Linked DNA regions of Caenorhabditis elegans. The protein of the gene in region 1 interacts with the protein of each later gene in a pairwise test. Each region holds a gene or a part of one and is shown on either strand. Other genes may lie near its edges.

Region 1 (4,726 bases):
TTCGACGTCAAGACAATTGGATGAGTTGACGCAGTCTTCGCAAGATATTTTCTGAAAAATTTTAATATTGCAAGTATTTATTATGAACGAATTTTGAATAAAAAACTAAAACACTCACACTCTGAGAGAATCCGTCGATTCCAGAAGTTGTAAAAGATGGAAACGTTCCTAATGTGGGAATAGGGGTTGAAGGCTCATCCACCGTTTCGCAGTGGACGCCACCAAAGCCTGATGTGCAATGACAGAAGTATTGTCCATCTGAAAAATTGTAAAACTTTAAAGAGTATCAGTATCAGCACAAAAATTAATTTACAGCTCCCTAAAAAACTCTATTCTTTTTCTTATTACCTGCATCTTGGCAAGTTCCTCCATTTTGACAGGGATTAATTGTGCATCCAGATTTTGGCTCACAGAACGGTCCATCAAACCCTTCTTCACATACACAAAACGGTTCCCCTTCTGCGTCGAGTTTACAGCTTCCACCATTCAAACATCGAATGTCACTGCATGTTGGATGTGACCGATATGAATTACTTATTTCACAATTGGACCCATTGAATCCTTCCGGACACTGGCAGGTAGTTGCGGCTAACGCGAACACACACTTTCCCCCATTCTTACAATCCGATCCATTAACCAGACAATCAACAGGCTCTCCACAATAGATGCCGGTAAAAGAGGGAAGGCAAAAGCAGGTGAAGAGATTCTGCCCGTCGTCGACGCAGTGACCCCCATTAAGACACGGCTCACGATCGCATGGACGAGCTTGCAACTCTTTACAGTCGGCACCCTGCAATTAAACGATAGATTGCGCGAGGGACCCATATCCGAACATGCCCAGATTATTCGTCAAACGTACCATAAACCCCGAAGGACACTCGCATTGCGTTGTCCTTGACGTCCCGTTTACGAGTGAACAAACATGAGCCGGGTTTTCACATATACACTCGTTAACCTGAGAAAAAACACAAGCAATTAACAGTGAGAAAATTGGTGTTACCTCTGCTTTGAGCTCGCAGAATGCACCATCAAACCCGGGAGAGCACTTGCAGGAGAGATCGGAGCCAGTCGAAATGCATTGACCATTGTTGTGACAATAATCAGAAGTGCATTGTTTCTTGTCTTGGATTTCACAGTATTTACCTAGAAGAAATTGTGAAAACATGTTTCTTCTTAGTTTTCTTTTGTTTTTATAAAATAATTTATTCGAATGTAAACTCTCAACAAATCAGCAACGTTAACAAAATTGAGAAAATAATAAGAAAGTTGAAAACTATAAGTATTGCAAAAAAACTGGGTATTTGTCCAAATATCATAATAAAACTTTTTGAACAACCTGAAGAAATGATTTTATTTCGAGCCAAAAGGGATCAACATGACAATGCTTCAGATTTGTCGAAACGTGGCAAAAACATGTATGCGATTTTTGACTCGAGATAAAAAATCCCCGAATTGTTTAGAAAATTTTTTATGACATTTGGTCATTTAGCACCTTATAAATGATTTTTGATCAAATTCACACTAGTCTTATTGAAAAAATCTAACTAAACGTTTTTCAAACTTCAGGTTTTTTTTTCACAATTATGTCTACTGGAAAACTATATTTCATCCTTCCCATCCAAATTTTCAAACCAAAACTCACCAGAAAATCCTTTTAAACATTTGCATTCATAACTTCCTTTCAAATTTTCACAATCTGCTCCATTCTGACAAAAATTTTCTTTGCACTCGTCCTCGTCAGTTTCACAGTGATCTCCAACAAATCCAGGTGGGCAGGCACATTTTACATTTCCCTGAACATTCTATTGGTTTTTATCACTCTGGACTCAAGTCACTCACGTTCTCGGCAACACAAGTGCCGTTATTCTGACAAGTGTGTGTTGCGCAAGACGGCTCGTTGCTCTGGCAAATGTATGATCCGTCGGCTCCTTTTGTGCATCTATAAAAAACATACATGTTTTTGGTTTGCACAAGGTCATGTATACCTTTCGTCATCGCCACATTGCGGTGAGCACTTTTGAGCAGTGTCATCATCAGTAACTAGATTATCACAAAGTGAGCCCATCCATCCTTCGGAGCACTGGCAAGTTTCTTCGCCAAACGTTCCTTTCACGCAGTTACCGTGGAGACAGTGCAAAGAGCAGTTGTCCTGACATAGCAACCCACTGAAACCCTTCGGACATTCACACTGAAACATTCGCGTCTCATCGTTCACTGTGCAAGTTCCGCCGTTAAGACATGTGTTCCGACTGCACGCTCTGTTACATAGTGCTGAAAAGAGTTTTAGTGACAGCTTGTGGTATTCATCTGTCTTAATGATAATGATGGATTACTTTTTGCAAAAAGTCAGTTGGTAGTTTTGTCCAAGTTTTAGATTGGAACTGATCTTTGGAAAACAAAATTTAGAAATTTATTTTGTTTTTTGGTATGAAATATACGAGCTTCATTTAATTTTCAGAGAAAGAAGTCATGTGTTTTATTGAAAAGGTCTGGGCTTCTGAAATAATTGTTAACCGACAAATATGTTAATAGTTATTTGTTTACAATTTTAGTTGAAAATATATAAACGATTACAAAATCAAAGAAGAGATGGGCTGCAAAAATTGAGAGTTTTCAGATACAACAATGCTCAACACTTAAAAGCCCAAAATCAACTTTCTCAAACATATTTTGAATTTAAATTAGATTTTCAGTTTTTGAGATGTTCACTTAAACTTCGTGTTATACATTTCTATCTCTCATCTAGTCTAAACCAAAACTTTTCACACTCAGATCAATCAGTCTGTGAAACCGAATGACATCATATCTTAGTAGTAGACTTACCATTTGTAACCAGGGTACAAAATATGAGAAAATGTTGATATTTCATGAGTGGTAGATCATTGAATGCAGATCCCAAATAGGAGTAATGACGGCAGCTAGTCGAATTGTTTTGTGTTTGGAGGTAAAAAAGGTAGTTTGCCGCTTGACGATTGTTCTTCTGTACCGCACACGCTAGCTGCCGGAGTGACGCGAGAGAGAAAGAGAAGGTCCTAGAGAGCCAGGTGTATTGTCGGATAATAAGCAGGTAATTAGAACGGAAGAGGAAACACGGGCAAGAGAGATGAAGGGGGGGGGGGGGGGAATCTCGTGGTTGCCAGGGGTCAGCTAGCTGCCCTGTGGCATTTCGACGGTAATTTGGAAATAGTAGGGAAAGTTTCAGTTGACCGAGTGATTGAAGATATACAAAATTTTCAAACGTTTATAAAAAGTGAAAACATAGAAATTCAGCGTTTAGTTAAAAAAAAAGGTTTTCGAGAGTATTTGTACAATTTCGACATTTTTTTTGTGCTCGTTTCAGTTTGGCAGCTCATGCTTTTGATTTTACTTTTAATTGTCGTCTGATAAAATATTTCCTACTTTTTTTTATTATCATCTAGTTCCTAATGTACTTGTATGTGTTAATAAAATTAGCTGAAATATGGGGTTTTATCCCATAACAAGCGACAATATTGTTTTATTGTGATTTCAGGAGTTTTTTTATTTAAAAGAAATAAGAATGAACAAGCTTAATTATGCGTAAGTACAAATTCAAAATACTCAAAAAGTGCTGGGTCCACTTGAATTACAGCAAAAAACCCTCAGCAGCTAATTAGTTCCAAACAATTTCCGGCTGTCAACATCTCCAACATCTATATATTTTATGTGTAGTAGGTCGGATATTATACAGACAATTTTCAAATGATGAGACTAGTTTCACCCGGCACGCACACGGAAAAAAGAAGGGGATAGCAAAAAAGTGAAGCGAAAAGGACAGTGTGTTTGTCCTGTTATGCGGAAAAATGAGATTTGCTGGGGTTACCGATATCGAAATACGTTTTTAGAAAATATTTGGATGAAAATTCAAATAAAAATTTCCGAAATAAAAACGGCAAAAGCAAAAAAGTTTAGTAGTTCCGTTTAGACGGGACAAACTTTGCTGAGAAAATTGAGTAGAAATGAAGGCCAAGGCGGAGCACAGTTGACAAATGACCGCGCATTTGGAAATGGCAAACTGTCGGAATTTCATGGAAAAATACCAACAAGTGAATCAATTACATAATTTTAAAAAGTGAAATTCTCAAATGTTTCAAAGATAGTTGGGGAATTTCAAACTACCTCCCAATAATACTCAAGAGACGCAAAGTTTTTGAACTTACTTGTTATGCTATCAGTTATGTTTTTTGGAAATGTTGGAGGTCACAAACCTTAAAATTGATTCTGATATATATTTTTGATTAATCAAAAAATTACAGTTCATTGTGAACATTTTACGCTCAAAAATATGTTGCCAACATTTTCAAAATAGGGAATCTTCTCAAATAACTGAAAAGTTCAAATTTTCAATTCACGGTAACATGATGAAATAAATTTTTAAAAAACAACTTTTAAAAACAACTTTTTTTTCAATTTAATAAAAATTCAGTTGATAAACATTGAATAATTAAACTTAGTTTTTGTGTTGATATTTGTTGAAATGCTAAATTTTTAAAACCAAGAGATTATTTGGATTCAAATTTCAAATTACAAATTGATCTGACGATTTTTTGTCGTTCCTAAAAAAAATGCTAAAATTGTACTTACGGAAAACAACAATTTTGAAAAGCAAAAAAAAATTAGCAACGAAAAAAAATCACCCCTGTGGCTAGCTTCTCGGATCGCGTTCTACTTATGGTATTATCTGGGGACTTTGCATCAGAAAAAAAAT
Region 2 (4,614 bases), on another chromosome or scaffold:
CGAGATATTTTGCGCGTCAAGTATGTTGCACAGTACGCATTCTCAAAATTTTATGTTACCGTAATAAACATTCTAGAACCGTTTTGGAATTTTCGCGTTGTAAAAATCTGGAAATTCTGCTATAGGAAAACGCCTTCCTGCCTGCCTGGCTTGAATTAGGGCTTGTGAATTCCCCTCCAAAATGCAGAAAAGAGGCGGCGGGAGGTAGGCAGCAGGTTTCAGGCAGGCCCTGAAACCTGCCTACTGTCTACCAGAGCCACTGATGTCTCGTTTTGAAGACGATTTGGTAGCAATTCTGTGTAATTTTTTTAAAAGTTTTACGATTTTTAAGTATAAACTGTAAAATTAACCAAAATTTCAACCAAATTCGCTCAACCGTAAAGTTTGAGTCCACCGATAAAATTCGCCACAATCACGTGGTGTCATGGTGTCTCATTTCGGCTTGATCTACAAAAAATGCGGGAGAAGAGGCGCCACGTTCTCAACAGATTTCGTATGGTTAAGAACGTGTTGACGTCACATATTTTTGGGCAAAAAATTCCCGCATTTTTGGTAGATCAAACCGTAATGGGATAGCCTGTACAATTTTGACCTTGTTTATCGCAACTTGTTGCTCGAAACTATGCTCATATACAATAATTTTCGTGTTTATGTGTGTGCCTATGTTCACAGCTGTTTTCACCTCCGCTCTGCGTCTGCGTCTCTCCGTTTTCTCTCACATACACACACAGTCTTCATTGGGTCCTAGCTGGCTGGTTCGAAAGGGCGGAGCCTCTATCTCGCCGGTTTCCGTGTCTGCGGCAGCAGTCTGTTTCAATGAGGAGTGCGCGTTGGCCCGAAGAAGACAATTAGAATTCGATTTCTGTGTCTTCTTACTACTCGAAGTGTGTTCGTTTTTTGATTGGAATATCATATGCCTCTGGCTAATTGCTTTTTTTGCCGGTTTTGTTTCATTCAGTTAGTGTTGTTATCCGTTCCTGTGATTAAAGAAATTCGTTCCTAATTCCTGTTCCACGTGGACTCAAAGTGTCTCATCATTGCGCTTTGATCTACAAAAAGTGCGGGAATTTCCCCCCATTGAAAGTGTGACGTCAGCACACTCTTAACCATGCGAAATCAGTTGAAAAGTCTGCGTCTTTTCTCCCGCATTTTTCGAAGATCAAACCAAAATGGGACACTTTGACGCCACGATTTTTCTTGCTCCTCTGTACTTTTTTTGTCACTCAAAAGCACGTTCTTAACCATGCGAATTCAGTTTAGAACTCTGCCGCATTTTTTGTAGATCTACGTAGATCAAACCAAAATGAGGCACTCTGACGCCACGTGGGGTCAGAGTGTCCCATTTCGGCTTGATCTACGTAGATCTACAAAAAAATGCGGCAAAGTTCTCAACTGATTTCGCATTGTTGATAACCTTGCTGACGTCACATTTTTTGGGCAAAAAATTCATTCCCGCATTTTTTGGTAGATCAAACCGTAATGGGACACGCCTCGCTTTGAAGTCATATAACAGTTTTTCCCCCCTGCTCTTCAATACTTTTCAAGCTTGAATCGACCTCATTTTTCAGTTTTCCATTAATTTTCCAGGTTCTTTCACCCGCCCTTCTAGCACACGATCCTGTACTATGACTAACTTCTCTTCCCTTCTCACCACCATCTTCCTCTGCATCATCAGCTCCGCGACCGGCTCCGGAACCATCGAGCTGCTCATCTCATCCCCACAAACCGTGCTCGTCGAGCCGACGGTGTGCGCGAATTTCGAATGCGCGGCACCCGATGATCTATCGTTGGCGCGAAAAGTTCAACGAAGAGTTCCTCTCCGCTTCGGCACCGGACAATATCACGGAGAAGCCCGCGAACGCATTGATCTTCACCTCAAAATTATCGAACCAACGAGTAATGGTAGGTTTCAAAGGAAAAAGAGCCCACACTTCCTCTTGCTCTCCTTGTGTTGTTTGATGGTGACCCGTGGTGATAAGATAGTGTGACAAGTGTTATCAGATGGACTGCTAGTGGTCTTTGCAACGGTTGTTACCGGCCCGGGGCCGGGCCGGCCTTTACGGAAAATTTTAAATCTATTTTTCAGGAAAAATCGGAAAAAAATGTTCAAAAAAAATTGGAAACCATATAAATTTATTCCAGAATGAAGAAAAATGACTGAAATTTTGAGCAGTTTTTCAAAAAATCAACAAAAAAATTGTTTCGAAAAATTTGAAAATTTTAATTTTTAGTTTTTAAAAAATCGAAAAAAATTTTTTTGACCAAAAACAACATTTCTTGTTTCAAATTTGGACCAAAAATACAAAAATCAGATTTCTCCGAAAAAAAAACCCTAAAAAAAAAGAAATTTTAGATTTTTTGATCATACCAATTGAAACATAACAATTTGGTCCAAAAAACGATAAAAAACCAAAAAATTAATTTTTTTTGTTTAAAAAAAAAAATAAAAATTCCATTTTTGCAAAAAAAAAAAACCAAAAATTCCATTTTTGCCAAAAAAGAACAAAAACCCATTTTTGCCAGAAGAAAACCAAAAAAAATCCATTTTTGTCCATAAAAATACCAAAAAACCCCCTAAAAATGCATTTTTTGCCAAAAAAAAAAACCGAGAAATCAATATTTTACCAAAAAACCAAAGAATTCATTTTTTGCAAAAAAAAAAACCAAAAAAAAAATCCATTTTTGCCAAAACAAAAACGAAAAAAAATCAATTTTCTTTGTCCATAAAAAAACCAAAAAAAAACCAAAAAAAAATCCATTTTTGCCAAAACAAAACAAAGAAATTATTTTTGGCAAAAAAACACCAAAAATTCCATTTTTGCAAAAAACAAAACCCCAAAAAAAAAGCATTCTTGCCGGAAATCCCAAAAAAGAAACCAAAAAAATCCATTTTTGCCAAAAAAAAAAACCGAAAATTCCATATTTGCAAAAAAAAAAAATTTTTTGTCCATTAAAAAAACAAAAAAAACCATTTTTTGCCAAAAAAAAACCGAGAAATCAATTTTTGCAAAAAAAAAAACAAAAAAAAAATTTTTTTTTGCCAAAACATAATCGAAAAAAAAATTTATTTTTGCCAGAAAAAACCAAAAAAAAAAAAAAAAAAAACGGCAGCCCTGCTTCAGAAAAGTCAAAATTACGAGAAACACTCAAAAATCTGAGAATGCGTATTGCACAACATATTTGACGCGCAAAATATCTCGTAGCGAAAACTACAGTATCCCCCCTTTAAATTACTACTGTAGCGCCGCTGGTGTCGATTTACGGGCTTAATTTTGATATCCGATCAAAAATCGGGCTCGTAAATCGACACAAGCGCTACAGTAGTCATTAACAGGATTACTGTAGTTTTCGGTACGACGAGATATTTTGCGCGCGTCAAATATGTTGTGCAGTACGCATTCTCAAAATTTTATGTTACCGTAATAAACATTCTAGAACCGTTTTAAAATTTTCGCGTTGTAAAAATCTGGAAATTCTTCTTTTTCCAGAAATTCTCGCCCTCCAACACCACCGTCCTGCCGCCGATACGGAATGGAACTCCGACGCTCCGATCGTCATCGAGACCTCTCGTGGCTTCAACGTGACGGTTCAACTGCGGAATTTGTGCAGCTCGTGAGCATTTTTTTTTCGGAAAAAAAATTCCGAAAAGTAGCCAAAAATTCCAGAAACTACCACGGAAAACGCTGCAATCGATATTGTATCGCGAATGCGAAGCTTCACTGGGAGTGCTCAACACACGGAGTCCGCCGATGCTCCGCCGGATGGTCTGGTGAAGATTGTTCAAATCGTGGGTGATGGAATTCTGCGTATTGGGCAGCATATTTGACGCGCAGCAAAATATCTCAAAACTACAGTAATTGACTACTGTAGCGCTGGGGTCGATTTACGGGCAAAAAAATGGAGCCCGTAAATCGACACAAGCTTTTTATCTGAGAAGAATTCTGCGTATTGCACAACATATTTGACGCGCAAAATATATATTGAAAACTACAGTAATCCTTTAAATGACAACTGTAGTGTCGATTTACGGGCTCCTCAAAACGAGCCCGTAAATCGACACTACAGTAGCTATTTAAAGAATTACTGTAGTTTTCGCTACGAGATATTTGCGCGTCAATTCTCCAACTAGTTTCGATCCATTAACCCCCCCCCCCCCCCCCTAGCTTCCGCCGCCGCCGCCGCCGCCGCTTTTTCACACATACACATCTGGTCAATTGACAAGTTGGGTGGGGTGATGATTATTTGGCGGCACTCTCAGAGATCAAAAGAATTGTGCGCGAAATAGGAGGCGTGTCGCGGCGGCGACGACGACGTTTCGATTGAAAAATGATTGAACGGTTTTATTTTTGGGAATTTCCTGTGAAAATTGCCATTTTATGCTTTTTGGGGGGTTTTTCGCGATTTTTTTCCGATTTTCATTTTATGGAAAAATTGCGCCTGTCGAATAAAATTATAATAATTTTCAAATTGGGCCTAATTTTTCAATACTTTGAACCAGGGGCGGGCGGCTAAATGCCGGTATACCGATTTGCCGGAAATTGCCGATTTGCCCGAAGTTTTCATTTTCGACAATTTGTCGATTTGCCGGAAATTTTCAATTCCGGCAATTTGCCG

What was found. The genes of interacting proteins can lie anywhere in the genome.
Region 2: the proteins of crb-1 (region 1) and apx-1 interact in a two-hybrid assay, tested with the Caenorhabditis elegans proteins (one large-scale study listed by BioGRID).

What each region holds. Positions count from the first base shown.
Region 1 is NC_003284.9:17,410,981-17,415,706, forward strand, and holds the start of crb-1 (uncharacterized protein), read right to left. Parts: upstream 3,035-4,726; 5' UTR 2,870-3,034; coding exon 2,824-2,869; exon of another isoform or gene 2,712-2,823; intron 2,272-2,711; coding exon 1,986-2,271; intron 1,940-1,985; coding exon 1,840-1,939; intron 1,794-1,839; coding exon 1,643-1,793; intron 1,144-1,642; coding exon 1,001-1,143; intron 956-1,000; coding exon 860-955; intron 791-859; coding exon 349-790; intron 259-348; coding exon 119-258; intron 52-118; coding exon 1-51.
Region 2 is NC_003283.11:3,208,604-3,213,217, forward strand, and holds the start of apx-1 (Anterior pharynx in excess protein 1), read left to right. Parts: upstream 1-1,585; 5' UTR 1,586-1,625; coding exon 1,626-1,902; intron 1,903-3,076; exon of another isoform or gene 3,077-3,488; coding exon 3,489-3,612; intron 3,613-3,665; coding exon 3,666-3,787; intron 3,788-4,614. UniProt on the Caenorhabditis elegans protein: Probable ligand for lin-12/Notch and glp-1/Notch receptors and involved in the mediation of Notch signaling. Involved in the lin-12/Notch pathway signaling of cell fate in vulval precursor cells (VPCs), acting redundantly with dsl-1 and lag-2.